Saccharomyces cerevisiae S288C: one gene and its partners. The protein of the gene in region 3 interacts with the protein of the main gene of each other region in a biochemical or structural test. Each region holds a gene or a part of one and is shown on either strand. Other genes may lie near its edges. The genes, in order: SIZ1, RTS1, SGO1 and NFI1.

Evidence for each region.
Region 1: of the proteins of SGO1 (region 3) and SIZ1, one has a biochemical effect on the other in vitro, tested with the Saccharomyces cerevisiae proteins (one study listed by BioGRID).
Region 2: the proteins of SGO1 (region 3) and RTS1 form a complex in vitro, tested with the Saccharomyces cerevisiae proteins (2 studies listed by BioGRID).
Region 4: of the proteins of SGO1 (region 3) and NFI1, one has a biochemical effect on the other in vitro, tested with the Saccharomyces cerevisiae proteins (one study listed by BioGRID).

Annotation. Positions count from the first base shown.
Region 1 is NC_001136.10:1,287,813-1,295,928, reverse strand, and holds SIZ1 (SUMO ligase SIZ1), read right to left. Parts: upstream 6,524-8,116; coding exon 3,809-6,523; downstream 1-3,808. Other genes in the region: ERD1 (Erd1p), read left to right, coding at 1-331; rRNA-processing protein RRP17, read right to left, coding at 529-1,236; DFM1 (Dfm1p), read left to right, coding at 1,535-2,560; STE14 (protein-S-isoprenylcysteine carboxyl O-methyltransferase), read left to right, coding at 2,838-3,557; ADE8 (phosphoribosylglycinamide formyltransferase), read left to right, coding at 7,070-7,714; TRAPPII-specific subunit TRS120, read left to right, coding at 7,991-8,116. UniProt on the Saccharomyces cerevisiae protein: Acts as an E3 ligase mediating SUMO/Smt3 attachment to septins and PCNA. May be involved in chromosome maintenance.
Region 2 is NC_001147.6:354,556-362,440, reverse strand, and holds RTS1 (protein phosphatase 2A regulatory subunit RTS1), read right to left. Parts: upstream 4,768-7,885; coding exon 2,494-4,767; downstream 1-2,493. Other genes in the region: PET127 (Pet127p), read right to left, coding at 1-1,029; ERP4 (Erp4p), read left to right, coding at 1,357-1,980; YOR015W (uncharacterized protein), read right to left, coding at 2,089-2,448; YOR012W (uncharacterized protein), read right to left, coding at 5,485-5,898; YOR011W-A (uncharacterized protein), read right to left, coding at 6,583-6,789. UniProt on the Saccharomyces cerevisiae protein: The B regulatory subunit might modulate substrate selectivity and catalytic activity, and might also direct the localization of the catalytic enzyme to a particular subcellular compartment. Multicopy suppressor of ROX3 and HSP60.
Region 3 is NC_001147.6:460,775-468,068, reverse strand, and holds SGO1 (Sgo1p), read right to left. Parts: upstream 3,299-7,294; coding exon 1,526-3,298; downstream 1-1,525. Other genes in the region: CDC21 (thymidylate synthase), read left to right, coding at 480-1,394; YOR072W-B (uncharacterized protein), read right to left, coding at 3,439-3,600; YOR072W (uncharacterized protein), read right to left, coding at 6,253-6,567; NRT1 (nicotinamide riboside transporter), read left to right, coding at 6,793-7,294. UniProt on the Saccharomyces cerevisiae protein: Plays a central role in chromosome cohesion during mitosis and meiosis divisions by preventing premature dissociation of cohesin complex from centromeres after prophase, when most of cohesin complex dissociates from chromosomes arms.
Region 4 is NC_001147.6:624,552-632,231, forward strand, and holds NFI1 (SUMO ligase NFI1), read right to left. Parts: upstream 5,990-7,680; coding exon 3,809-5,989; downstream 1-3,808. Other genes in the region: SLP1 (Slp1p), read left to right, coding at 178-1,941; ISN1 (IMP 5'-nucleotidase), read right to left, coding at 2,077-3,429; PUP1 (proteasome core particle subunit beta 2), read right to left, coding at 6,415-7,200; mitochondrial 37S ribosomal protein mS26 PET123, read left to right, coding at 7,613-7,680. UniProt on the Saccharomyces cerevisiae protein: May act as an E3 ligase mediating SUMO/Smt3 attachment to septins. May be involved in chromosome maintenance.

The DNA of each region.
Region 1 (8,116 bases), on a different chromosome or scaffold from region 3:
AAGATGGTTTATGCTAATTAATTCTTCCTATACGTTATTTTGGGATGTAAGGATGGATTGGTCATTGGACTCGTTAACCTCTTTAAGATCCAGATCCAAAAGTGCCGTCACATTAAAGAAAAAAATGTATCATTCGGCGATTCTCGTTGACTTTTTGCTGAGGTTCTGGTGGCTATGGGTATATTTATCGCAGAATCTGAAATTAGTTGCCGCAGATAGCGACTACATTTTTTTCCAAGGCGAAATGCAGTATTTCGAAGTAATTAGAAGAGGCATATGGGTCGTTTTCAAATTGGACGCAGAGTATTATATTAAGTTTGCAAGCAAATAATTTGTTGGGCAAGCCATATAAAATCATGCAAATGCTGTAAATATTTGTTCTATTTTCCCCGTAGAATGGTTTATTCGATATATTACATATAATAAACGAAAAATACATATGCACAGTATATACTTTTCCAAAAAAAAATCAAACACTGTTTGAGCGTCAAGAAACCCCAGGCGGTGCCCGACGATAATGCGACTGCATTATCTCCTACGCTTGTTGTCGTTTGCCTTTCTTTGGTTTATTCTTCGTTCATTTTTGGTCAAATATCTGAACTTTTTTACTCTTGGCTTCTTCTTTTGTTTCTCATCCACGCCCAGAAACTTCGCGTATTTGGTGGCTCTATTTATGCTTTGTTTGAGTACTTTTTCTGCCTTTTCTAATTTGACATTATTTAGCTGGGCTAAATATTCAAAGTTATCATTGGGTTCCAATGTCTCCAATTCAACAGTAGTTGAGTCATCGTATATTTCCGTGATTGCTCCTTTCTTCAAAATAGGCTTTACGCTACTTTCATTATTGTCGTTATCGCCGTCATCTTTATCAGAATCAAACCCGTGCCAGGATTCATCAGATTCTACCTGCAAATCCTCCGTCTTATCATTTTTCGCATCCTCTATCTCAGCTTCCAAGTTTAAACTCTCTTTAAACGTCTTTAACTGTTCTTCCATCACCTCCTTACGTTCCTGCCGAATCTTCTGTCTTTCTTCAATTTTTCTAAGCCTTTCCTGCTCCTTAATAAACTCTTGTGCTTTCTTTTGTCTTTGAAGCTTTCTCTTGTGAAAGCCAGTCAGATAATCCAAACGAGAATCCTTGTCGAACGTCACCTCATCGGTACCGAATTTCTTTGATTGCTTTGTAGCATAGTTTTTGCCTCTTGTAAGGATTTGCCTATTGGTGTGAACAGCCATAGCAAAAATCGAAAACCTTTAATTCACCCCTCTTGATTCGAGCAGCTACCAGGAACTTGAATATTGCAACTCTCTATTTTTTATCTGCTATTATCTGCTGCTTTGCAGAATCGATCCTCATCACATTTGAAAAATTTCAAATGTGAAAAGTCCCTACTTACCCGTTCGCGGCTCATGAAATCGTGTCCTCTTCAATATAAGACAAGAGTATCAAACAAAGGATATAAGGCAAAATACAACAAATTACCAGTGAATTCCGCATTTCCAAGTCAAATCAAAAACTATTTTCGAGGAAATAATGGCAGGCCCAAGGAATGTGCGTACATTACATGGAAATGGAGGCCGTAATAATGATGTGATGGGCCCAAAAGAATTCTGGTTAAATATCCCCCCAATAACAAGAACTTTATTTACTCTAGCGATCGTTATGACGATCGTCGGCCGGTTGAATCTAATCAATCCGTGGTACTTTATTTATGTTTGGAATTTGACGTTCAAGAAGGTTCAGATATGGAGACTTCTTACTTCTTGTGTAATGCTTTCGTCTCGTGCCATGCCTGCGCTAATGGAACTATATAGTATTTATGACAGGTCCTCACAGTTGGAGCGAGGGCATTTTGGTCCCGGTTTGTCCAATAGACGAGGACCGATGGTAACAGTAGACTATGCCTACTACCTGTGCTTTTGTATACTAGCCATCACTACGGCCACTACAATCATTTATGGGTCCTACTACCCTGTTGTGCTCACCTCTGGGTTCATATCATGCATTACATATACTTGGTCGATCGACAATGCCAACGTGCAGATCATGTTTTATGGTTTGATTCCTGTTTGGGGGAAGTACTTCCCCTTAATTCAATTGTTTATCTCTTTCGTTTTTAATGAGGGTGATTTCGTAATCTCATTGATCGGTTTTACTACAGGGTACCTTTATACATGCTTAGATACCCATACACTGGGGCCAATATGGGGGATGATATCCAGAAAAGCTGATCCAACCTACGGAATCTCGCCCAATGGGAAATTCTCAACGCCATGGTGGTTTACTAGTCTATATGCTCGCATAACGGGTGCCCACAATGAAACTGCAACATTCAACAACAACTTTGCCAATGTGCCATCTTCGCAAAGAGAAACGAGAACTTTTAGTGGAAGAGGTCAACGATTGGGTACGGCCCCTGCAACATTGTCTCAAACCAGTGGCACAGATTCAGGCAGAGCTTCTGGAAGTCAATTAAGAAGTGGCCCATCGAATTTGAACCAATTTCAAGGCCGCGGCCAACGAGTAGGACAAACAAACAGCCCCTCCGACTCACAATAACAACTTTTATCTATTTCTATGTACTTTGCCATTCATTATATACATCAAGAGAGTCTGACATAGTATTTTCGTTGGCATAGCAACCGATTGATAATGAAACATCACTCAAGACGAATTGACAAATGGGCCACTATGGTAAAACAATTCTTTACATGATACCACCAGTATATAGAAAGGTTCTCGTGTTGATGAATTATATAAGAAAGTGAAAATCGATTTCAAGATAATTACTCTTTTTACCTCCTCTTTCATTGTGGTCACCGTTTTTGAACACAACATGCACCAAGATTTTCAAGAAGACGAGCATGAGTATCCAGACATCAGACGCAATCCGCTGCATGAGGTGACCATGACTTCCTACATACTGGGGATTCTTTTAGGTATATTTGTTGGTCTTTTTCCACAAATTAGATTCAAGAATTTTAACCTCTTTATTATTGCCCTGTCCTTATTCCATTTTTTGGAGTATTATATTACAGCTAAATACAATCCTCTTAAGGTACATTCAGAGTCCTTTCTTCTGAACAACGGCAAAAGTTACATGGCGGCACATTCCTTTGCTATTCTGGAATGCCTCGTAGAAAGCTTTCTTTTTCCTGATCTGAAAATTTTTAGCTACTCTCTAGCTACCAAGCTTTGTACAGTACTTGGATGTCTTCTAGTTATTCTGGGACAATATACCAGAACTATTGCTATGCATACTGCGGGACATTCCTTTTCTCATATTGTGAAGACCAAGAAGGAGTCCGATCATGTTTTAGTGAAAACTGGCGTTTACTCCTGGTCAAGACATCCAAGTTATCTTGGGTTCTTTTGGTGGGCAATTGGCACTCAGCTACTGCTTCTAAATCCCCTATCATTGGTTATTTTCATTTTTGTACTTTGGAAATTTTTCAGTGATAGAATTCGTGTGGAAGAAAAATATTTGATAGAGTTCTTTAGCGCGGAATACATAGAATACAAGAATAAGGTTGGTGTCGGAATACCTTTTATATAATAGTAATGATTGTGTTAGTTATGGACTGGATTTTTGTGTTATGTAAGATTTTATCTAATCTTGTGCATCTGTATTTGGTAGGTAATAAATGCTAGGGGAATGCAAACAGTGATATTGCCTTTGAGTATTGAAAAGAAGAAAATATTTCTTTTTCGAACGGAAAATTATAGAAAATGAAGGTCATATGCACAATTACAAAGAAAATATTTCATGAAAGAGCTGGACGGAACCGTCCAATTTTAGCCTCGTTTTTAACCACTGTTGTATTTCTTTCCATAATCTTGCGTTTTCCATGTACCCATTATGGGTGAAGTTGAGGATGTATTAGAAAGTTGTCTTTTTTGGGGCAGTACATTAGAGTAAGGCCTCCTTGGAATGAATGGATTTACAATGAGTCTGGACTTCTGCAACGGTATGGTTGCAGTGTTGGGAGGATTGGGGACACTGTTTTCATTGTTTATCAAAGGAAGCCCAGACTTGTTAGAGTTTGTACGAATTGGGACGTTCTGGGGCAACGTGGGAAGTACAGGCGTAGAATTTTGTCGCCCGACGTCATTCCTCGTGATTGCTTCTGTTGTTGGTAGAGAGTTATTCCTTTGATCAAGCCCATTATTCGACAAAATAGTTGCCCCACGCAATGTTGAATCAGGGAATCTTGTGGTATTCAAACGTGGATCATTAAATCTTGAGTTCACGGTGGAAGGAAAGGACATATCCATATTCTGTTCACGTGGTGGAAAAACTGAAGATTCTTGAGGCTGGACAAATGAATCTGATATCGATGCAGTATAACTGTTGGAATTTATGGGAGGCCTTATTGTTTTATCGGGAACAGTGGATCCCCTGGGATCTAATGAACTCATTCTTATTAAGGGAGGGGTACTGAGAGCGCTCGAACTTGCATTTGAAGCGGTGTTTCTTGGCGTTGGGGATGATACGCTAACATCTGGAGAGATTAAGTGGGATGAATTATCAACAGCAGTCACATTTAAAGGCGTTTTTCCCAGAATGTTCGGCAATTGTTTACCAATATAACTGGAACTGTTTCCGAGGTACTCAGGAATAACCCTGTTTGTCACCGGAGTAGTAGTTTCTGAAGCAACTATGTTATAACTTTTTGGATCCAGGGTTCTCGAGGGTGCACTTGAACCTTTTTCAGTTAGAATATCTGTATTAGTACTTTTAAGGTGATTGCTAGTTATTTCCGCCATAAGTCGATCATCATCATCGTCATCATTATCGTTCATTAAATTTTTAGTATGATTATGACTGGGAGTATTACTGCGACTACCATGATCATGTTTATTATTACTATTACTATCATTATTTTCGATACTATTATTATTATCATTATTATTATTATTGTTATTATTATTATTATTATTATTTTTATTATGACTATCATTATTTTTGATACTATTATTATTGTTATCATTACTATGCCTGTTGCTATCATCATGATTATTAGTAACATGAGGATTATTTCCATTTGGTTCGTCATCATCACTATCGAGATTTATGATAATCGGTTCACTTGGATGTGAAGAAGAACAATGATGATCCGATACTGAAGTACCTTTTTCTGGGCTTCTACTACCATCATTGCTGTCACTGTCGCTGTCATCATCGTCTTCCAATATGGCTGTCCACTTACCATCAGAAGTAAGTTCTACCTGTTCAACGTTTTTTTGACAGTTCTGTAAAATGTCATCAACAAATTCGGAAATTGCTAAATTTTCCAAAGCTATATCAATTTGACATACTGGGCATTGCCACGTAGGAATTTGTAGTTGGGAGTGTAGGAACCATAATGCATCAAAACATTGCAGATGCTTACAATTTATTGATTTTGAAGGGTATTTCATTCTTGTGTACGAAATTGGACATTGCAGACTCATGATAGTAGATGTGGTAGTCAAGCCCATTTCTTCATCCTCCCGAAGTGTTTTTTTCAAGTAAAGTAACGTGGCTTGTTTAATAATTTTTGGATGCTGTAATACTTTTTCCAGGAGTTGCTCCGGAGTGATCATTTCTACAATGTACCCAAATAGCTTGTATTCCTTCGTGGTGAAGGCATATATCAGCTCCACATTGTTTTGTTGAGTATAAGGTTTGAGATGAGGCGTTAAATCCGCCGGCTTAGCTGTGCCCGGCTTACTCTTGAAACCTCTTATATTATCTTTGATTTGAACATTATTGCACCTTAATTCATTTGGGAATGGAAATTGGATGGGTTCATTACCTCGGGATCCTAATGGATTAATCATCCCAGAAAATAAGTATAGCCTGTGTTTGCTATTCGGGTTACTTAATAGATTATAGTCTGCTTTGGACAATTTAAATTTCGCAGAGCACATACCTCTTCCGCCTGTGACTTCCACGTTCATCACTAATTCAGGGATTAGCCTTTGTATTTTGTAAAATGGAGACTCTTTAAAATGAATTGTCGGTACAGCAAAAGATGATGAAGAAGAAGAGGCATCTGGATTTGTAGGTGGTGGTGCACGAGATGTGGAAGATGTGGTAGACGTTTTCCGCCGTTGAGTGGGAGACTGCCTAATAACGGAAGGTGATTGCTGCTGCACCGTGGGAGGCCCCTCCATAGAACGTACTGTGATAGCACTCAATGGGGTACCCTTTCTTAAAGCGTTCCAAAGATCTTTATAAACAGGCAAAGGTTCATTCTTTCTGATCCGTTCTATCAGAAATTTAACGGCTTGAACTCTATAAGGATCAGACTTGCCTACTACTAAAGCGTTCTGCAAGAAATTCCTGATAAGGTCCTGTAGAACGGCCTTGCGACCGGAAACCGGGAAAGATACAGACCTGCAAATATCCTTCAATTCGGACACTTTCAGCAGTTCCATCAGAGTGATGGTTTCCTCCACCTCGTTTCTTAGTTCATTAGTCGGTTCCCTATCAGGCCCAGGCGTTTCATCTTCCCAGTAATCCTCTAAATTTATCATTGAAACAGAATGTATATGGAACACTCAACTGTTTGAGTTGGAGTCTTCTTTTCTTGTGAAATATGGATGAACTCCACTTCATTCTTTCATATTCATATTAAAGATGATACACTTTTCAACTTACTATCTGGTGCGGTGAATGGGTGTATACATTGACTACAGCTCAGGTGACATCTAGGGGCCGTTTAGTGTAAGAATATAAAGTACAATCCAAAAAGGAAAATTATACTTGTTTAAGAAAAGAGGAACCTTCTGCTCGCTCTAAAATGGTAGTTCTAGTGATAGTTTAAAAATGCATTTTCCTTCCGACTTCGAAGATAGATTTCAGCATAAAGACTAAAAGCGTCAGCAAGGATTCGAATGAGTGACTCGTTGCTAGTGACTCTGACCTGTTTTTTATTCCAGCAAGAGGAAAGTTATATAGAGTAGTTTATGAAGAGAAGACACTTCTAAAGTTGAATAACGCTCCTAGCCTCAAGGTTGATGATTTAACTTGCAGCAAGCGCAGGTGAGAGCCAACACACATCAATAATCTTTCCAAAAGCTATGGCCAGAATTGTCGTATTAATTTCGGGCTCAGGTTCCAACTTGCAAGCCTTGATCGATGCCCAAAAGCAGGGCCAATTAGGCGAGGATGCTCATATTGTCTCTGTCATATCTTCCAGCAAGAAGGCATACGGGTTAACTAGGGCAGCGGACAATAATATCCCCACAAAGGTTTGTTCGCTATACCCATATACAAAGGGTATTGCGAAGGAGGACAAAGCCGCAAGGGCCAAGGCAAGATCCCAGTTTGAGAACGACCTCGCAAAACTAGTGCTCGAGGAAAAGCCTGACGTTATCATCTGCGCGGGCTGGTTATTGATCCTTGGATCTACTTTCTTGAGCCAACTGCAATCTGTGCCGATATTAAATCTGCATCCAGCGCTACCAGGTTGTTTCGATGGTACCACACACGCAATTGAAATGGCATGGCGCAAATGTCAGGACGAGAACAAGCCTCTGACGGCCGGATGCATGGTGCACTATGTCATCGAGGAGGTCGACAAGGGTGAGCCATTGGTGGTAAAAAAGCTAGAAATCATACCTGGCGAAGAAACACTAGAGCAGTACGAGCAAAGGGTACACGATGCTGAGCACATCGCGATTGTAGAAGCTACATATAAGGTTTTACAGCAGCTTCACAAATAAGAATAGTTCCCATATTTATACTTTTATATTTGGCATTCTTCAAAGTGAGGCGCGAAACATCTCGCGTCGTAAATCATGATCATGGATTGTGACAAAACGATCTTAAAGGTTTCGAATAAAATGTGTGTAAATACGTATACTTATATATGAATGTGCATGTGTAAACGCTTAATCGTGTTATTGCAAAACTAAAATCAGGCCAGATTGTAGTTTAAACGGTTCTAGTATAACTGGTTTAAGGTGCGGCTCACAACCTGTTACAGGGAGACAAAAACCATGAATATTCTTAAGCATTTCCCAAGCTATGTTGGCCCATCTAAGATTAGGACCTTAGTGATACCAATTGGCCATTGGACGCGAAAAGAGTTTAATAATGCGGTACAGAAACTTTCTGAATTCAAC
Region 2 (7,885 bases), 110 kb from region 3:
ATGACCTAGTACAGAAAGCACAATCTCCCTATCCAGACTTCTATCTGAATCAATAGAACAAATGCCATTTCTCTTCTTTCTCAGAATGACTGCTGACGGAAAATATGCACTTTCTGAATAATTGCAGTTTTTTTGAGGAAAATTTTTCGATATCGAGGAATCAATGATATTCAATCTTCTGAAATTGGATAATAAATAGTGCAACTGAGAAAGTACTGATGTCATGGAACTTGATGAAGATATGTACTTTTTTCTATGTTCTTTGGCAACCTTTAACAGAGATTCATCTTTGTGGGGTGTGATGAATATTGGCTTGCTTTGTCCTTCTCCAGAGGAGTCTGTGTTCACATCTTTTTCACTTTTCTTTTCCAAATACTCTGGATTAATATTTTCCACTGCAGGGTCAAAATTATACATTCTGCTCCTATTATCTCTCAATTTTTGTAGCGACAACGGTTGGTATAACACTCTCGTTAATCCATGACCAATCCTAGGAGGCTTTTGGTTGTGTTTTTGAACACCATCTTGATTGTAACGTACTAATGCGTGCCTAATCTTCTGGACATTTATCCGAAAAGTGTATGAATTGCTATCTGAATATGTTCTGCTAGCGGGATATGTTCTCCTAGCGGGATATGTTCTCCTACCAGGATATGTTCTTCTACCAGGATACGTTCCTACCTTTGTCCGCTCCAAATACTTATCATGTCTATACTCCTTCTTTATATTTGTTTTCAGTAGATTAATCGCCTTGTCCATTTCTTCCGTATATTTTTGTCGACCTCCCTTTTCCTTGTTTCCAATGTCCTCTACAGTCGAATTTGTGTCATATATTTCATCGACCATCTCTAAAGCACTATGCAGGTCAGAACGTAGCTTGTCTGGTGTTTCTCTTCCACTAGGGGCATTTGTGAGAGCAGCGCCAAAGTGATAAATCGATCGCTGTTGATAGCTTTTAGCGGCGCTACCTATTCTGCAAGGCTCAACAGATAGACGTCTGGACAGGAATCTACAGTTGTAGAACCCCATTATCAAAACTATAAAAGTATCAGGTAGCGTTTGGCTCTTTTTTGTGCTCTCTCAAGTGCCCTGTTTATATTATATTTTTACATATTTGTTTCTTTATTAACCAACGGCATTGACGGAAACGCGCTTTATTATGGACTACTTTTTTTTCACTGTTTCCTGTTTTTTGACGTGATATACTCAAAGATGAGCGATTGACGATCTGAGAATTCTATTTGGGAACTCTTCTCTGCTTTGAAGACATTTATTTCCCAGCTGCCTTTGAAGTAGTTTCACGAGCGCTAGTGAAGTTTTTTCATAAATATATATTCCCAATCATCGCTAGGAATTATGCGCGTTTTTACTTTGATTGCGATTTTGTTTAGTTCATCTTTGTTAACACATGCATTCTCCTCTAATTATGCTCCTGTAGGCATATCATTACCTGCTTTTACCAAAGAATGTCTTTACTATGATTTATCCTCTGATAAAGATGTCCTTGTGGTCAGTTACCAAGTTTTGACAGGTGGGAATTTCGAGATAGACTTCGATATTACCGCCCCTGATGGCTCTGTTATCGTCACTGAAAGACAAAAGAAGCATTCTGATTTTCTACTGAAGTCGTTTGGTATAGGTAAGTACACTTTCTGTTTGAGTAATAACTACGGCACTTCCCCAAAGAAAGTTGAAATCACCCTCGAAAAGGAAAAGGAAATTGTTTCTTCCCATGAAAGCAAAGAGGACATAATCGCAAACAACGCCATCGAGGAAATTGATAGGAACCTGAATAAGATCACCAAAACAATGGATTATTTAAGGGCTAGAGAATGGAGAAACATGTATACTGTGAGTTCTACTGAGTCAAGATTAACATGGCTCTCATTACTAATTATGGGGGTAATGGTTGGTATCAGTATAGTGCAGGCATTAATTATTCAGTTCTTTTTTACCAGTCGCCAAAAAAACTACGTATAGGTTGCTTTTCAAGCTCTTAAAATTGTTGGATCAGCTGTGCTAAGGGGAAGGCACTTTTTTGTATCATGATCCTATTTTTTTTGTTATTTAATTATTTATGACATACCTTTATACTTTAGTTTTCAAAAATCCAATAATAGATAGGCAAGGTTTACGGAAAAGAGTGGAGTGCAAAATAAATAGAGGAAAGGCAGAAGGAAGAAGGAAAGCGAAAAGAAAAACGAAGATATATTTGGAGAAAAGTATAGAAATAATAAAATGAAGACACATCGATTGAAGTATGCTCAAATGATGAGAAAAAGAGACCTTTATCTCAGGCCACAAACAACCATTGTCCAAGTGGCTTATCTTTGCTATAGTTTTGTTCGAATATTCGGGGATTCTATCTTTGGTTTCTTCAACAAGTTGACCCCATTTACCAGTTCTTTTTTGCTCTTCATATACTGCTGCTCTTTTGAAATGTGGCATGCCCTAAACTTCCTCACTTCTTCGAGCTTGTAATGAATTGCTGTTTCACTGTATCTCGCTGTCACAATCATTTTCGTTCTCTTCATTTAATGTGTTATTCTCACTTGCTGTGTTGAAACTGTTTCTTAATTCTGGGTTTTTGATTGTGTATTGGTCCTTATCATTGTTAATCCTTAGATTTTTTACATATTCTTCAAGTTTGCTCCAATTTTCTTCACGTTGCACCTTACGCTGTTGAGTTTCTTTTACACTTGATAAGTACAATGCATTACAGTTTTCGTACAATACTGGGTTTGTTTCCAGAAAAATTTTCAATGCCTTGAATGCCATAGCATGAATTGCCCTATTCCACGAACCAGAATTGATTGCTTGCTCAACAAGCATGTAAGGGTCTGAAATGCTATCTTCGCCATTTGCTGTATCTAGCTCTAACTGAGAAGTTAATTCATATAATGCAGGAAATATAATGGGTAGGATGACTTCGGCATTTTCGATACATAAGTTTAAGAAATATTCATTATTCCAATAACTTAAAACCTTTTCCGCCACTTGGAAATGTGGAGAAGAAATACACTTAGCTAATTGAACAAATAACGGAACTTCTACTTTAATAAATTCCAGCGGTTCGATCACTTCAAAAATATCCTCGATTTCATTTAGAAACATTATCTCTTTTGTGGAATTTATTTTTGGCCAATAACGCAGTAAGCCCATAACTACCTCTTCGGTTAATAAAGGATCTTTTTCGAGAAATTGAACGATACAGTAAGCCAACTGAGGGTGGTATAATGATAAACAACGGACCTTGTGTAATGGTATCAATATCCTCACCAAGAAAACCTTGTGCTCTTCCTTTAATGGAAGTGCAAATCCATTAATTATGGAACCCAAAATTTCTAACAATTCTGCCACACCGTTAAACTTCTCAGTCTCATAAATAAATTGCAAAAAAATATTATTCATCGACCGACGAATAAAGCTTCTTAATGATAAGAACTTCCCATATATTCTATGCAGTGTCGTTTTCAAACAGTCTCTTTCTCTGATATCTTCGCTATCAAATAATTCCAGTAACTTTAAAATAAAGTCCTGATCAATATATTGTTTAGCAATCTGATGATTGAAATCAGGACTTTCCACAAACCTTAAAAAGAATTCGTAAACAGCTTGCATATGAGGCCAGGCTAGTTCGTTAACAGGTTCATCTTCATCTGGGTCATAAATGTCACCAACTGGATTTACTGGTGGTGGAATAGGTCTAAACAGATTGATTTTGAACATGTTCACCACATGAGCGTACATCTCATTCGTGTAAGTGAACCTATTTGTTACAAGGAATTCTATTAGCTCATCTAAGGTGCTTCTTTTAATCTCTTTACCTTGAATGTCAAAACTTGGATCATTAAAGTCAAACATAGTGTTACACTGGTCAACTTTGGCAATGAACAAAGGGATTCTTTCTTCAGGAGAAACTTCATTAAAATTTGGCAATTTCGTTAATGGCGTATATCTAGATGGCTCGAATCTAGATGAAGAATGACGTTGGGGAGTCTTAATTAACTCTAAATCTGTGTCAGGGTTAAGTTTTGTGGGTGTTGGTAGTCTCTCAAATGAGTGTGATGATCTCGGAATGTCGATACTTTGTGAGGAGGCGTGGTTTGCATCCTGAGTATTACTAGTATTAATATTCATATTGTTATTATTACTATTACCATTTTCTACATCAGAAGAAACTGCTGTACCTGAAGCATTTGAAATGGGAGATGATGGAACAGCGGATACTGCCCCCAGCAAAGTAGGATGTGCATGATCTTCACCAGAAGTGCTTTTGTCGTCCTTAGTAACAGTGAGTACTGGAGTGGGGTTCATTATAGCGGCAGATGATGAAGAAGATCCTTGCTTTTGAGATTGTGATGGCTGTTGCGATTGTTTGGACTGTTCTTGTCCTTTTCTTGAACTTGTTTTCTTTGTGGAGCTTGAACCGGAGCGACTGACACTTGAACTTCTACTGCTACTGCTGCTGGAAGAAGGGGTCGTCGCTGTTTTTGTTTTTGATGTAGAGCTACTATGATGCTTCCCTTGCGAGGGAACACTACCAGATTGCTTGCCCTTCTCAGTTGTAGACTTTGATCCGGTACTGCTGGCAGAACTGTGAGTAGTCCCGTGGGAAGAGCTACTAGCCGAAGCGGGCTTCTTTGATGTGGATGAGGTAGTGGAACTTTTTTCTTTTTCCTTCTCTTTGTCCTTCTTTTTACTGCTTGAAGAAGAAGAAGACCCGGTGGTCTTCTTTATTAATCTTTGCTTGAAACCACGCATCATATTGAAAGTGGATGTTCGAAAATAGCACGTGCCTATTGATCTTAATAAGTAGAACTTTTATACAAAATAAAAAAGCCAGTTAAAGACGGTATTGAGGTGAACAGGTATATGGAGAAGGGTTTATATTTTTATCTAACAAAAAAAGGAAAAAAAAGCAAAATCGAGGGGGGAAGGAAATGAAACCCAAAATACTTACGGCGACGATGGTTTATCCTTGAAATGAAGAGTTTTCCAATGAAGAAACGAGACGTATTGACATGCCTACCAATTGAAGTGGAAAACAAAGCGTAGTTTCACATACTCTTTGATAATCAATTGTCTGATACTTTTTTTTTTCCTTTCTCGCAGCCGGGATAGGGGGTTGTGACCCGGCAAAAAATGTTGGTCTAAGTTTTATTGTTGCTATATGCTCCATACATACAATAAATGTCTATAAAATTTTTAGAAGAAAATCAGGCGTGAAAGATGGTGTCTGCATCTTTGTGGTAGAGCATCAAGTAGGCCGTGAATCCCTTCCCCTGCGGATCGGGTTCTCCTTTGGAGTTCACTTCTCCAACCCCGAACTGAAACACCAAATAGGTTTTGAAACCGAAATATTCGTACACAGATCTTGCGTGCTCCGAAATAGCCTCGAGAGCAAGGGCGCAATTGGCCTTGTCTGCTTTGGTTTTATATTTTTCGAGTATTTTTCTGACTGAACCTCTAATTTCGGGATGGCTAGGATCTTTTCCGATGGCATAAAGGTAGTAATAGTCCATTCCCAGAGGCATGACTTCGTGCTTCCTCACAGTCAAGTCGTGAAAAAAAAATCTTATTGAAAGACTCGTCGTCAGATAGTGTAGCAGGCAAGTGGCACCCAGGGCGGCTCCATATTGCGACTGCATCGAAATCATTTGCCTCAGCAATTTCACCATCCAAGTCATGGTAGCACGTCGTGTAGTAATGTATCATTGCATTTATTCTTGCCCTTGAAACTTTTTCAGTGATTGGGATATGGAAGAACTTTTTCATCAAGTAGTCATTTGCGTATGACTTTTCGAATGCCTTAAACAAAGTTTTCGAAGCCTTCTCTACATCGCTTGTCAAGTTTACCGCCAAAGAGGATTCTTCATTGATCGATGATGCTACCATTATCAAAACTATTGATTTGTTTTCAACGTTCTGATTAGTATTTTTGTCACTGCCTTTTTCTATTGTTTCTTTTTTTGCATTTCTTATAGTAACATAAAAAACACAGGAAAAAAAACGTCGTTTATTATATCAGGAGTAAAGGATTTCTGCCCAAAATGTCAGGAAAATTACGATATAAAACGTACTATAAGATAACAAGCGGCTGAATAATTTCTGAGGTCAGAACCATAAGGGTACTGAAATACTATGTGCTAGATTTTTTATTTATTTTCTTTTTCTGATTGATTATCGTTTGGTTAAAATCAGTATGATATTATATATGACTTGCTTTATAATATATCAAACCGACATAAAAAATTATCCTACTCAAAAAAGATCATGGTTGTCCCCGCGTTTCACTTCTGTTATACCATGCAAATTTTTATATCAAATGAGTAATTCTTTCATTTCTTTCGGGACCCTTTACGAAGTAGTTGTTATATCTCCACTGGCAAGGCCACGAACTGACAAAAAAGGCATGATATAAATTGTGAGAAATTGTGAGTTAATTTAATAATTATGCGACGAGATGATAGAAAGGTAAAGACGACTTTTTGAGCCGGATCTGTTTACGTCAGTAAATTCTCGCGCCCCAAGACGTTATGAGGCATAAAATTTATTGCGTTCAGTTTTCTAAAGAGCTCACTATCGGTGATAGAAATCTTTCTTTTTTATTATCTTCTTGTCAGTAGTAATGTATAAGCACCAATATTGAAATGTCCAATTTTTTCGGCTCTTCCCAAGAACTTCAAGAGAGCAGTAGTATGGAAGAAAGTATTGTGAATGATACACAAAACGGTTTAAATACTCCAATATTTCAAAATGAAAGAAATTGAAAACCGATTTTGCCATTAATAATGATTGCTTATTATCCTTTAGTGAAGAAGTTTGTATTGAACTTCAAAGCTGATTGAAAAATCATTATATTTGAACACGTCGTGAGAAGACATGTGTCCAAGTGCATAGTTATTTAAGGCTTCTACGCTGCTTTGTCCTTTTATTACACATTATAATGAGTCTTCAAGATATTTGACTCAGTATGTATAAGAGAATGCTTCCATTGAGATAGTAAGATGATACGTATTGTTACAATACTTGATAATAAGATGCGTTAAAATATTAGTTAAAATGTTAGCTAAAGTTGTACAATTATTCAAGTCGGTGGAACAATAACACTCATTTTATATTTAATTTGTAGGCTGGTTAAATTTAATAACACTTCTTAGGGCTCTATTTTTATGAACAGGACATCATATTATGTAGGCAATAACTTCCGAACTTCGTAATTGATTTAATTGATAATACGACCTATCGTGAATATGCTAAAAGTTCTTTTCGAGGATATAGAGATTCTCGAAGAGAGAGAGATATTCTAAATAACAATATACATATATATATATATATATATATATATATATATTCCTTTCTTGCTTCTTTTTTGTACATTATGTAACTATATTTCTTTCTCATTCCAAATATTCAAATGTACAGGTATTTAATACCGCCTCAATTGATTTAGCGGTATTTTATTTTCTAACAGCTTAGTTATAATACTAAATATACAAAATATATTAGAAGCTCTTTCTCAAGGATATAGGAACCTGCCAAGGAAACCCATATTTCCACATAATGTTACTATTATTATTTCTTCTATTTTTTATGTTGTCATTCATTATCCTATTACATTATTAAATCTTGCATTTCAGCTTCCATTAAATCAGATGACTGTTTTCAATCCTTTTTTATCTTTCTACTCCGTCTACCACAATATAATAGCTTATGAATACTCGCCGGTAGATTATAGTCGATTCTTATTCCAATAGTTTGTTCCTCCAATGACGTTATAACTAATCATAAAGCAATATAGCTAAATTAGGTACCTAATCTTAAAAGATTTTCAGATTTAAACTAATCCTTGTTGCCTATCTTAATTTGAATATTTCTGTAT
Region 3 (7,294 bases):
GCAGTTCTTAATTAAATGTGCCCTTTTCAGAAAGATACCAGCAAAGGTAGGAATGATTTATCATTACATGACATGTATCCATATTCCAGGATGGATCATGCGAACAAGCTTCTTTCCCCTCTCGTCTGTAAAGGACGGGATTGAGATTCAATTAAAAAATTAGTTTCATTGGAAAAGGCCAATAAAATATGCAAAGGTCCCGTCATTATACTGCAGCTACCTCAAAGAGATTAGCTTTGTGTCCTCAACGTAGGACCGCATTGAACAGGTTGGAAGAGGTGTTGCTTTTTTGACCTTCTTTCTCAAACTTAATATTTGGTGACGCGTTAAATAGAAAAAATGAAAAAGACCTTAATTGACGCGTTTCCTGAAATATTTACTATAGCATAGCTGTAATTGTATTTTCTAAACTTGTAAGTGACTGTGTATATCAAACAATAAAGTATCAAGGAGAGAGCTTCATAACAGAACGGTACAGGATGACTATGGACGGAAAAAACAAAGAAGAAGAGCAATATCTTGATCTATGCAAAAGAATCATTGATGAAGGTGAATTTAGGCCAGATAGAACAGGCACTGGTACGTTGAGTCTTTTTGCACCACCCCAGCTGCGTTTTAGTTTACGTGATGATACCTTCCCACTACTAACGACCAAGAAGGTTTTTACTAGAGGTATCATACTTGAACTATTGTGGTTTTTGGCCGGTGATACAGACGCTAACCTATTGTCTGAGCAAGGTGTTAAGATTTGGGACGGTAATGGATCTCGTGAATATTTAGATAAGATGGGGTTCAAAGATAGGAAAGTAGGAGATCTGGGGCCCGTTTACGGATTTCAATGGAGGCATTTTGGTGCTAAATACAAGACGTGCGATGACGACTATACTGGACAAGGTATTGATCAATTGAAACAGGTTATACATAAACTAAAGACAAATCCCTACGATAGAAGAATCATTATGAGTGCCTGGAACCCAGCTGATTTTGACAAAATGGCTTTGCCGCCATGCCATATTTTTTCACAGTTCTATGTCAGTTTCCCCAAAGAAGGAGAAGGATCCGGTAAGCCCCGCCTTTCATGCTTATTGTACCAACGTTCTTGTGATATGGGGTTGGGAGTACCATTTAACATTGCATCATATGCTTTGTTGACTAGAATGATTGCTAAAGTTGTCGACATGGAGCCAGGTGAGTTCATTCATACTTTGGGGGATGCACATGTTTATAAAGACCACATTGATGCCTTGAAAGAACAAATCACCAGAAATCCAAGACCATTCCCGAAACTAAAGATTAAAAGGGACGTTAAAGACATTGATGATTTCAAGTTGACAGACTTTGAAATTGAAGATTATAATCCTCATCCAAGAATTCAAATGAAAATGAGTGTATAATTGACAGCACGAGGAGAAACAAAATCATGTACTTACGTATATACACACAAAATCGAATGTATATAATACAATGGTTTATTATGCAAAAATATAGAAATTATTAAGGAACACCAGGGCAAAAAGACTATATATCATTTTTTGGTGCGATATGTTTTTGGTTGATGTTTCACTGCCTTACCATTTCCAAATAAATCAAATACTGCTAAATCATCTTCATTTAGTCTAAAGCTAACAGATTTATTATTAACATTATTAATGTTTGAATTGTTATTGTCGAAATTGTTGTAATTGTTGTTATTATTACTGGTTCCCTTTGACGACTTGGAGGGTCGCGTAGTAGAATTTTCATCAGATAAATTATTGACAATTGCATTTTTGAACAATTTTTTAGTTCTTGTTGACTTTTTCTTATTCTCCGATTTATTTGTAATGTCAAGTAAAGGCGACGATTTTTTAGGGCTATTGTTGCTAGTTAGTTTTTTTTCGTTTTTGTTGTTGCTGTTGTTGTTGGAAGTGGTCATTAGATGAGCGGTATCCTCGTGTATTTCATCTTCCGTTTTTTTCCCTTTTGGAGTTCCATAATCCTTTGAGACGACGACTTCTCTCAATTGCGGTTCGTCGGGTATTGAATCTTGGGATAAACTTTTCCTTTTATGTGAAGTTTCCCGATTTCTCTTGGAAACCTGTAGATCATGTATATCAATCACAGTAGTAGCATCCACAAGTTTTTCTGAAGGCCTCCTCATTTTGGCTCTTAAAGAAGGCAAAGTGTAATCTACAGCTTTACCACGAGTTCTTCTAGTTCTCGTAAATGATATTTCGCTGTTGCTGCTCATGTTACTTACGGGCATGACTTCGTCAATAACCTTTTTCTTCAGTTCTATCCTAGGCGGCTTCATGGAATGCTTAATTTTGGTCTTTGGATGAGAATTAGTAGAAGAACTTGATGAAGGATAGACCGTTGAAGCATCGCTAGTGGTAGTAGGTAAAGTTGCGGATGGGCCTGGTAAAGGCAACGGCAAAGGATTTGACGGCACTGTACTTAGCATATTTGTACTGTCATTGAATATTTCTAGTTTAGAAGATGAATGCTCGGGTTCTGTCGGATTCTCCTCTGGTATGGAGTATTCTATAATTGAATTGGTAAAATTACTGACAGAATCGCTATTTTCCTCTTCAGGGTTTAAGGCATCTATTGTTTCCTCCACTTGCGCAGACTCGTGTGATTCTGCCGGTACCTCTACAGAGGAATTTTCCATCATGGGTTCGTTTTCACCGGTTTCGTCTTCAGGTTCTAAACTCGTGGATACAAACATAGATTGCCGCCTAGAACTCTTCCTTTTTTTAGCCTTAGGCTCAAGATCTGGACCATCGTCCTTGTTAAAACTTGATTCATGCGACAGGTTATTCTCGTGATTTGATAACCTAGTGTAACTTTTTGAGTATGTGGGTGATGACAATGAGCATGATCTTGACCTGGAACTCGTTCTCTTCAACATTGTTCTTAAGCTCGAACTGGGCAAATTTTCGTTTTTACGTACGTTCTCAAACATATAAAAAATTTCGTCAAATCTTTGAATAATACCGTTTTCAATGACTTGTAGTTGATTACTTAACCGTTCCCTGTAGATAGCTTCGCTTATAGAGGTTTTAGATCGTAGAGTCACGTTTTCTTGTACCAGCTGGCTTATTTTTTTTTCCAAGCTATTAACTTTAATTTTTAATATGGAGTTATCCTTGGCCAGCAGGGAGTTTTGCCTCGAATACGACTGTCTGATGTTTTCCACTTTTTGCGATTCGAGATCCATTAGGTTTTGAAATTCTTGTATTTGTGGGGTTAAATCATCGTGGGAGACCGTACGCCTGCTGCTTTCCTTGTTAGGAGCAATTTTTCTCTTCGGCATGGTCAAACAATAACCCCTCTATACCCAATTAAACATATATATGCGTGTGTAAGTAATATAACCCTGCGCCTAGCAGTAGTTGTAATGTGGAAATGGCATTATCAATATTAGTAGACGCTCACTTTGTGAAATTTCTTTGTTTACAAAACAAAAGGGCCTTGAAAAAAATAAAAAAAATCTGTTACCCGACCAATAGGAAATAAATAATCAAAAATAAAAGGGGCGAGCTGGGAATTGAACCCAGGGCCTCTCGCATGCTTTGTCTTCCTGTTAGTCAGGAAGTCGCCCAAAGCGAGAATCATACCACTAGACCACACGCCCTTGTTAACTTGTTGTTAAGACTACTTAGTCTTGAGTATCACACTGCATTCAGTAACATATATTCTTTTAATCTTCTGGCTGAGAACTCCAAGAATAATCGCTAAAAATACTCAAGGGTAAGTACCCCAAACAAAGTTCTGTCCTTCTTAGATATTTTAAATGAGGGAAACTAAATCATTAGTTTATTATTTAGATGCATTTTTCCCAGCTTTAACCTTTTTATTTAAAGGAAATTATAAAAAAAATTTTAAAAAAATGAGTTTTGCGTATCCAATAAATAATAGACAAGATGCTGTCACAACAGTATTAAAATTTCTGAAAGATTCTGCTGTCTCTGGACTGTGTAATACAACAATTCTTCGGAAAACTTGATTCGGAATAAACAATGGTCTTTCATTTATGGAAAATTTTCTTCTTTGTCTCGGTCACTAAAAAAAGCCTTAGCAAAGCTATATAGAAAGAAAATAGTGATATGGTGTATTTGCCGTAAAACTATGGTTTATCCAAGGTCGCCTTCAGTAAACTTTCGGAAATATATTCATCGGAGATATATTATATAATGAGTACATAGCAATCTAATCATGCTGGGTCTTCTTGCACCCCAATGAAACCATAATCATGTAAATGCTTGAAAATTCCGGGCATACTATCCTCTTCCTCAATAACCCAATCGAAGTAGAGTGCTAGTTGTGCACTATGTCCTTGCTGCTCATTAAATAAATTTACTGACAGTTTGGTGGAATTTCTTTGTTCGATCAGATAGTACTGTTAGGTATTTGTTGACATTTACTTCCCTATCACATCAGACCACTGTTTCTCCTTCCTTTTTGCCATCTTCTTACCTATTATATGATAATATAGTTCAAAAGGAAATACCAGTCAATGAATGATAATTGGCTCTTACTCCAACCGTTCTTAATCTGGACCAGTAATTGTTCTTATGGTGAAAAAGTATGGTGACGTCTTTACTTTTAAAAATATTTTTAACAGTTGAAGGAGCTCCCCGTGTACATCTTGCCAGATCTTCAAGAGAAATGTCACCAAATAAATTATGAAATTAAAGTACAGCGGTAGTGATAAAAACGATCATCAAGTAGTGCCATCCGATATTTCGTGTCAATTTCCAAGCTCATGATTTATGACATACAGGATTTTCAAGAATATTAAATCTTGTTCCTGAGGAATTTTTGATAAATCCAATAAATAGTAAATAATAAGAAAAAAGACAGAACAACAACGTTTTGGTGGGAGAAAGGCCACTTCTCTGACCAGACTAGAGTACTAATATTTACGACAAATATACTGAGACCGTGACCAATGGTAGAAGGTGATTGGCTTGAAAGAAATGCCAACATTAAAGCACATATCACTGCTCTTGATATCAGTAGAGTTGCAAAAAAATTATACTACTAAAATCAGCTCAACGGCAAGAAGTTACTAAGCACAGCAGAAATTCTGGAGCTAAAGAGAATAATATACATACAAGACTGACTGAAAACTCTGTTTTCCACATGCAGTGGACTCAAAATATTCAGTTGAAGAAGCAAGCACAAAATTGGATCAACCCGTCGCGTCGCGGCCGCTGCTGCAGGCGACAAATCCACTGGCAAATTGTACGCGGCCTCGTTACTCCTACTTGAAAACAGAAGTAACAACAACAAATTCAAGTTTCTACGAAATGGGTCTCATGACGACAAGGTGCGCCCCCCTATCTACCTTGTTGTAAGTCTGGGACCTGGGGCTAATTTCTCATCCCCGGAAACAAAAGTATACAACTACGTGGCTAAAAATTTTTTAGTATGCAGCACATAGGATGCCAAGGAGCAATTTTTAACCCTGGCAATCTGAGCTACTGAACGGCCGCCTCAGGACTCATAGTTCTCTATATATAATTTCTCCATGTTTCTCCTTGTGCCTGGTGGAAAATATCAAGTAGTTGCCGCGACATAAAATGAATGCCTCGTAGACACCGCGAAGCCGGAATGAAGGCGGACACTACGGCACCGCCTCAAACCCAACGGCCGAGAGCGAGTTCATCTCCCTCATAGATGCGAACGGCATTGGCACTGACGCCATCATTGTAGAACATATAGACAAGATTAAAATGCGTAATCACATCATGAATGGGAAGTTAGGTGCGGTCCACTACCCTGGGGGCCTCACTGGGGACGTCATCACCCCCAAAGCACCTCAATAAGTCCATAAATAAATATATAAAAATTACTGAATAATAATAAAAAAAATAAATTAGTTCAGTCTAAAGAAATGGAAGCAAAAACCTCAAAAAAAAAATTTTTTTACGAAGACTATGCTTCCAAGACTGACGTCTTAGAGGCATAGTCGAGAAGAAAAGGAATTACTGGCACAGAACGACAAGAAATATCGTGTCGGCGCCAAGGCATCTATGTAACTACGTCTTGTGATCACCGGTATAGCTGGGACTATTCCGTTTCATCATATGATCTGGCCGTCTGCGCTTGTACATTCTGGGCGCCAGGCGTAAATGACCAGAGTAATGTCTTGCTGTAGTCGTCCGTCGCCACAGAAGCGCGTGGACGCATGATCGCGCGCAGCGACCGGTCGGTTCGCAAGACGGTTGGCAATAGGAGTTTCCTGCTGACCGCCTTATTAATTTATATGAAAGAGGAGAATTTGTCATCGGGCTTTCGAATGAAATAAAACAGCTCCTTTAAGTAATGGAACTGGAAGAAGGAAGAGAATAAACGACAGAATTTTCGTGCTCGGAGCGAACACCGCGCCGGGTTACGAACAACAGTGGCCACTACTATAATAGTTATGGAGTAGACGTCAGAATATATAGCGCAGGCGTCAGAGTATAGCGCGGGCGTCAGGATATAGTGTGCCAATGTAGCGTGGTTGCATGCAGCTAGCTTTTTAGTTGAGTCAGACCTGCTCCAAAAAAAGAGGAACACAACTTTCGTCAGCATGTGTTGCTACCGCTATTTGTTCTTCGGGGAAAAAAATTTGCATTCGCTATTGTAGTTTTAATTTTCCTTCTCTATTCTCATAAATAGAGTTAAAATCTTATAAACTCCAGAATTATCAAGAACAATTACCTATATTATTTCCTATTGCAGAATTTATATTATTCTTTATTGTACTGATATCCCCATTATAACTATCAAAAAAAGGACTTCAGCACCTGTATCATCATGAGCTTCAGTAGTATAGTCTCTAAGTTTTTGAGATATTTAGAAATTCCTGCCAAAAATAGGACTGCCGTGAATTTTCTGAGGAACCCTGATTTGCAACCTATCAAGTCTGCAAATCAAACATGGGGGTTCTGGTCTAATTTGGCGTACTGGGGCGCTGTGTCCTTTACAGCAGGTACATGGATGAGTGGTTCTGCTGCACTAAGTGTCGGCCTAAGTTACCCAGAGACCATTGTTTCGTTTCTTCTCGGTAATGTCTTGACCATTATTTTCACTATGGCCAACTCTTACCCCGGTTATGATTGGAAAATCGGTTTCACCTTGGCCCAAAGATTCGTTTTTGGCATTTACGGTTCAGCCTTCGGTATCATCATTAGAATTTTGATGAGTATTGTCAATTATGGTTCCAACGCTTGGTTGGGTGGTCTATCTATCAACATGATATTAGATTCCTGGTCCCACCACTATCTGCACCTGCCCAATACTTTGTCCCCAAGTGTTG
Region 4 (7,680 bases), 160 kb from region 3:
AATGTCCGAAAGAATTCCGAGAATTTTATTCCTAGGTTATCTCATCGGTACTTTTTTTTTATAGGCATCAGCATTTAGTGTGAAAACATTATTTCTTAACTGTGCCTTACGGTTAAAAAGAAAGGACGCAATGGATATAGTTAAAATATAAGATATATTATATCATTATCTGTCCGAATGGCGAACCGTCTTCTCATATACGGCCTTATTTTGTGGGTAAGTATAATCGGATCTTTTGCATTAGATAGGAACAAAACTGCTCAAAATGCGAAGATTGGTCTACATGATACCACTGTGATCACGACTGGAAGTACAACGAACGTGCAGAAAGAACATTCCTCACCACTATCCACCGGTTCTTTAAGAACCCATGATTTTAGACAGGCCTCTAAAGTTGACATACGGCAGGCTGACATACGGGAAAACGGTGAGAGGAAAGAGCAAGATGCACTAACACAGCCTGCAACACCAAGGAATCCGGGCGATTCGAGTAATTCATTTTTATCGTTCGACGAATGGAAGAAGGTCAAGTCGAAGGAGCACTCATCAGGCCCTGAACGTCATCTTAGTCGAGTGAGGGAGCCAGTCGATCCCTCTTGCTATAAAGAGAAAGAATGCATAGGAGAAGAGTTGGAAATCGATTTGGGGTTTTTGACAAACAAAAACGAGTGGAGTGAAAGAGAAGAAAATCAAAAAGGATTCAATGAGGAAAAGGACATAGAGAAAGTTTACAAAAAAAAATTCAACTATGCATCCTTGGATTGCGCTGCAACAATTGTCAAAAGCAATCCAGAAGCGATTGGAGCGACTTCTACGTTAATTGAGAGCAAAGACAAGTATTTACTGAATCCCTGTTCAGCTCCGCAGCAATTCATTGTTATAGAGCTTTGTGAAGATATCCTGGTGGAGGAAATTGAAATTGCTAATTACGAATTCTTTTCCTCGACCTTCAAGAGATTTAGGGTGTCAGTTTCTGATAGAATACCGATGGTTAAAAATGAATGGACAATATTAGGAGAATTCGAGGCAAGAAATTCAAGAGAACTACAAAAGTTTCAAATACATAATCCCCAAATCTGGGCAAGTTATTTGAAAATCGAAATTCTATCCCATTATGAGGACGAATTTTATTGTCCCATATCCTTAATCAAAGTATATGGTAAATCAATGATGGATGAGTTTAAGATCGATCAACTAAAGGCTCAAGAGGATAAAGAACAATCCATAGGAACTAACAATATAAACAATTTGAATGAACAAAATATCCAAGACAGATGTAACAATATAGAAACGCGTTTAGAGACTCCAAACACAAGCAATCTCTCAGACTTAGCTGGTGCATTATCATGTACTTCAAAGCTCATCCCTTTGAAGTTCGATGAATTTTTCAAGGTGCTTAATGCATCCTTTTGTCCTTCCAAGCAAATGATATCTTCTTCTTCTTCTTCGGCTGTTCCTGTAATTCCAGAAGAATCCATTTTTAAGAACATCATGAAAAGGCTGTCACAACTGGAGACAAATTCTAGTTTGACAGTTTCTTACATTGAGGAACAGAGCAAACTGCTATCTAAATCGTTTGAACAACTTGAAATGGCGCACGAAGCAAAGTTCAGTCATCTTGTCACGATATTCAACGAAACAATGATGAGTAATCTAGATCTGCTGAATAACTTTGCCAATCAATTGAAAGATCAATCTTTACGTATATTAGAAGAACAGAAACTGGAGAATGACAAATTTACTAACCGTCATTTATTGCATTTGGAAAGATTGGAAAAAGAAGTCAGTTTTCAAAGAAGAATTGTTTATGCGTCATTTTTCGCCTTCGTAGGGTTGATATCCTATCTATTAATAACGAGAGAGCTTTACTTTGAAGATTTCGAAGAGAGCAAAAATGGCGCTATTGAAAAGGCAGACATTGTTCAACAAGCAATCAGATGAATCCTAGAGGGCCCATAATCATAATTCTAAGCATAATTCATTCAAGATGAAAAAATCCACCGCCATATATGAGGTGTTTCTATAGGAAATATCTATATACTTTTATAGTCCTAATTTCATTTTACATAAACTGTTTTAATCAGTTTCTAATAATCTATGAAGATAATTCACTGTTTCTTGAGGGGATGCTATCCAGAGGGTACATCCAGCTAGCCTTGCCTTAAAATCATTTGCTGATCCCACCGGTGCAAACTGATCGCCTACGTGTAAGGTTTCAGAGGGTTGGATAGGAGATTCAGGGTTATAAAATTGTTGCAATGAACGAACACCAAGATCTTTCCCCCCAATATCACACCAGACATCACTACCACCATCAAAACAACTAAATTGAATTCTTCTAGATGGGGCAAAAGACTCTAAAGTGTTTTGAAGGGTTAAAACTATTTCCTCCAGTTGTTCCCTATCAAGCTTAACAGGAACTTGTCTTTTAGAAGCTTCATCGTACCGTTCGCCTGGGACGATACCCACTGCCCTGACTTTACGGATAATAGAAATCTCTGAAGGTAGGTTTAGTCTTTTTCTTAACCTGTTAAGAGTTCTCTCGGCAAAGTCCAAAGTCTTTTCCACGTCCTCGAGGGACCAAGCCTTCATTCTAGGCAATAGCCATTCCTCTTTGTCAATTTGTCTAAAGCCAAAGTTATCTTCCTCCGGGTCTTCATAGTAACGGAAAAGGTAACTCGACTCACCACCCATTATTGTTAAATTCTGCTTTTGAGAAACTGGTATATCAGTTGAATCATGTAATGCAACAATTAATCCTTTCAATCTGTTCTCATAGGTTCCAGCTTCATCATATCCGGCCGCAGTGACTATTCCCACATTGATACCGCACCGCAACAGCTTGAGAATATAAGGAATTACAGGATTAGTGTAAACCAGGGAGCCACCATCTTCATACAGCGTCACATCTCCATCAAAAGTCACTAATCTCAAAACCTTACCATTATGTAAGTTCTCCTGTTTCTTAAAGTGAAATATCTGTGCAGTATTCAGGATATGCCTGATATCATTAAAACTGGGTGCTACCATTCTACGCGCCGAAATGGCCCGTTGTGAGTCTTCCCATAGAAAAGCTTGTTCCAATGGAAGTTCCGTAAAGAATGTTCCAATTGATGGAACCAAAAGATTTAAACGCGATTGTCCTAATATATTCAGAGATTGAGAAGAGGCGCCATCTTCAATTTCGTCTTGGCTCATGTTTCTTGAGTCAAATTCTATTTTATCTTTAATCAGCCCTTCAATGTCTTTAAAGATATCAGCATACTGCGACCTTACACGTTGAGTTGTTGCTAAGTCGTCATTGTAGTCACCTTCATGAGAGACGGCATGTAGAACAAAAGGTGAGGCCAGTAGCCCCTTTACCCAATCTATAAACTCATCCTTGCGGTGGCTCTTCAAATGATATTCCACTCTATATCTTGAGGACATTGCTATTATAAGTTAACTCACGATCTTTTGTTACTTTCTTTGAATAGTTTTCTTTTCTTAGTACATTCCTTTACCTTTTAAATTTTGTTAATTTAAGGGCGGCCTGTCCCGCTAAACGTGGGAAGTGAAAGGACATGAAATATTATAGTGTAATACAGGAAGTATACAGAGAAATCTATAGAAACCTATCACTGCAGATTCGCACACTACACCCATGAAGTAACCACAGTAGTAAAAAAACATAACAAAAGTCGTAATATTTATCAAAACAAAAACATCATTTACGCCCAAAAGTGGAAGTCAATATTAAGAGCGAAATGAAACAATAGAAATAAAAATAGAATACAATCGGAAAGGAAAGAAATCAAAAGACGGTTAATCAATCTGATGTTAAATCGACCACTTCCGAGTTATCTTGAGCCGATGTGTTAAAGTCATTAGTTTGGGCCAGAGTTTTATTCATTATGGCGTGATTTGCCTGTGGTCTCCGTTTCATAAGGGTGGCGTATGGATTCTTCGGAATGTAGATAGAAACATTAGAATGCCTTCTCTTCCTAATTTTTCCATCATCCCCATGGCCGCTGGTGCTCACGTGTATATATGGAGGGAGATGTGCCGCCGATGTGGTCCTTGTTGGTAGTTCAGTTTCTGCTTCTGAATTTGGGTCCACAGGGGGGATTGGAGGCAAATCACCTTCGATTCCCAAAAGATTACGATCTTGAGCTGTGGTATTGTAATTAGGTCCGTAGGGGTTTCTCTGCGCTTCCGTTTGATTAGTCAAATTTTGTAGAACAGCCGGTAATAGTGGCGTTGATGGCCCTCTATTGTAGAATATTCTGCTGTCACCATTCGTCGCCGTAACGAAAGAATTAATACTGCTATTGTTCGTCGGTGTGTCATTTATATTTGTAGTAGCGCCTTGGTTCAAAAATGACCTCATTTGAAAAGCATCTTGATAATTATCTTGGTCCATAGTTGGAGAACCTTTCGGCGTTGATGTATGATTGGGGTTGTAGTCACTGGATCCTTCCGATTCTGAGGGAAATATATCTGCTCTTAATTGGTCATTACGGGGGTTCACGTGCGTTGGGAAGCTTTTACTAGCCGGAATAAAGGCTTCATCATCTGAGCTATCCAGAGATATTATTTCGGGTTCGTTGTGGTTTGAACCATTACGCAAATTAGTATCGAAGGCATTTCGGCTGTCATAATCTTGCTCTTGTTTGACAGTGCCTTGGTTCTCGTTTTTCACACTGTGATTTTGGTTAACAGTATCCGTTATAACGGCCGAACTATTATGAATCGGTTTCCATGAGCCATCAACAGATATCTCAACTTGCTCAACATCTTCATTGCAATTTTGAATAATATTATCTACAAATTCGGAAATCTTCAACTGGTCGAATTTTATAGGGTGTTGACAAATCGGACACTGCCATGTAGGGACTTGTGACTGAGAGTGAAGAAACCAGAGAGCATCAAAACATTGGATATGCTTACATTGGTCAGTCTTCGCCGGATACTTCATCCTTGTACAAGATATAGGACATTGCAAACTCAGCACCGTGGAGGTTGTAATAATATCGTCATCATCTTGCTCATTCAAGGTTCTTTTGATGTATGCTGTGGTGGCTTGCTTGATAATTTTGGGCCTTTTCAGAATTTTCCCCAGAAGAGCTTCAGGTGAAAAAACTTCCACTATAAAGCAACTTATAGAGTACTCTTTATCAATATTGAGATAATGTAAGTCTAGGTGATTCATCTCGGTCGGTACTTTAAGATAAGGCGTTAAATTTGCAGGATTACCTGTCCCATTTTGTTTCTTTAAACCTTTCACGTTGTCCTCTAGTTTGGTGCCATTAAACACTAGTTCACAGGGATACGGGAAATCTATTGCCTCATGGCCCACAGTTTCATATATAAACGGTATTGAAAAGCCAGAAAACAAATACAGTTTATAACTCTTGTTAGATTTCAAAAGATCATGATTAGATTTACTTACCTTGAACTTCATTTTTGTACAACCTCTTCCTGCAGATTGCTTCAATTTTTTATTGGCATCCGGTATTTGTACTATTGGTTTGTAAAACGGTGAGGTAAAAGAATATGCTAAGGCCTGTTGTTGGGAATAAGGTGGCAATGCAGTACTCTGGAGAGCTGTCACGGGTAGTTGCCCCGATGCTACAGGATGCTTGAACGCACCCGTCTTTAAAGTTTCCCAAAGGGTAGAGTATTTTGGTAATGATGAGTTTATCCTTACTTTCGCGATAAGAATCTTAATAGCCTTAGGCCTCCACGGATCTATATGTCCAATATCACAGGATTTTCTTAAGAATTGTTTTATTCGGTCTTGTAAGACAGCCTTTTTGCCCGTTATGGATAAATCCAGAGATTTGCATATTTGCTTTAACTCTAGAACCTTTAATTGTTCCATTTCATTTATTGCATCTTTTATTTCATTTATGAGTCCACCACCTGTGTTGGACAAAGGGTTCGTAAACATATAACTGGCATTATTATTATTATTATTATTATTATTATTTGACATGACACTTGCCATCGTGCTCTTTTCCCTTATACGTTTCTTGATTATCAGTGTATCGTTTGTGGTATTCTTAGTTCCTTGATATTTGCCTCAGTAATAGCCCTTTAAAGACCAACAAACGGATGACTATAGAAATGTTAATTTTAGTGTTATGTTATATGTGTGGTACTGAGCTGTGTTTGTTATATTATGCTCTGTGTGATAAAATAGCTAAAATGGATGGATAAATTAACACGAAAATTAACGAACAAAAATCAACTAACACACTTCAAAGCATAAAAAAAAGAAAAAAGAAAAAGAATCAAGAACAAATAATAAGCTCTGCTATAAGAAAATATATTATGTAAATAGTTTTGCGGTTAGTTTTTGACTTCCTTTATCACATTTTGTTGAACAATGATTTACTATACTAAAATATACTTAAGTTCTATGTTTTACTTTCAAGCCGTTATATCGACTTGTTCTTCTTGTATGTCACAAATATTGACAATACTCTCCTTCAGCACAGCAGTTGTACCCCTGGGGAATTTGTAGCTTTTCTGCTTTTCTTCTCTAACATTTGGAGTCAAGTAATTCCTCAAGTATTCTGCATCTTTACCTATTTCCATGACACACACATCCACATTAGAACCAGACCCCAAATCATTCCAGATACCAGCCTGGATTGCATCAGAGGCCAACTTTATGGCTTCCTCCTTCGTAAGGTCTTGCTTCCAGTGTGATTCCAACACAGCCATTGCCGCTAGAGAACCAGATCCTAGAGAAAGGTAGTAGCCCACGTCAGTAGAACCATGCGCATGAATGGAGAACAAATGAGATCCCGTAGGGTCTACACCTGCAACAATCAAATAAGCACCAATATGACCTTGGTACTTAAATAGGTGCTGCTTTAGCATTTGTAAAGCTGAGACCACTCTTGGTTCTCTCGAGGTATATAAGGAATGTAATTCAATGTTAGACCCGATCAACTGCGTAACTGCCTCAGTATCGGCGGCGGTACCGGCACCAGCACACCATATTTTGGGGGAAATTCTATGCAATTTTGCGCAATTCTTATCTGCGACAATTGGACCTTGTGTTGATCTTGTATCTGCTGCAATCACCACTCCGTTATTGAATTTTACGCCTACAATGGTGGTACCCGTGGAAGTTGCCTTAGGTTGTGTGTGCGAGTTTTCCGCTAAGAAATTATTTCTTTGATAATTGTCGAACGATAAACCTGCCATGCTCACTCAATTCTATTTTCTACAATCAGGTTTATGTGGGGGGAGTATTCCTGAAAAAATTTAACGCTTTACTATACAAACTCTCCACCTCAACTGATCACCCTTCTGCTGAATTATTAGTTTATCCTTTTCATCTTTCTTTTTGGTATTTTGCCACTCGGCCGGGTTATAAAATACGAAACATGGCCCTAATTTACCCGCTTTTACAATAAAGGGTTTGTAATGAGGGTAAAAATATTGGCCCTAATGAAAAATCACTAGCAACGGAAGTGCAAGTAGAACCCTGAAGTCGCCGAGTAGGAAAGTGATTCCCAAGAGGAGTAGAATAAAGAAGAGAATCTACATATGGATTATTTAGGTAATAGTTTCATTGCTGATTGTCAACAACAATAATAACAAGGATAATTGAAGTATGGGGAAAGGTGCGGCCAAGTATGGTTTTAAAAGTGGGGTTTTCCCCACAACAAGGTCCATTCTGAA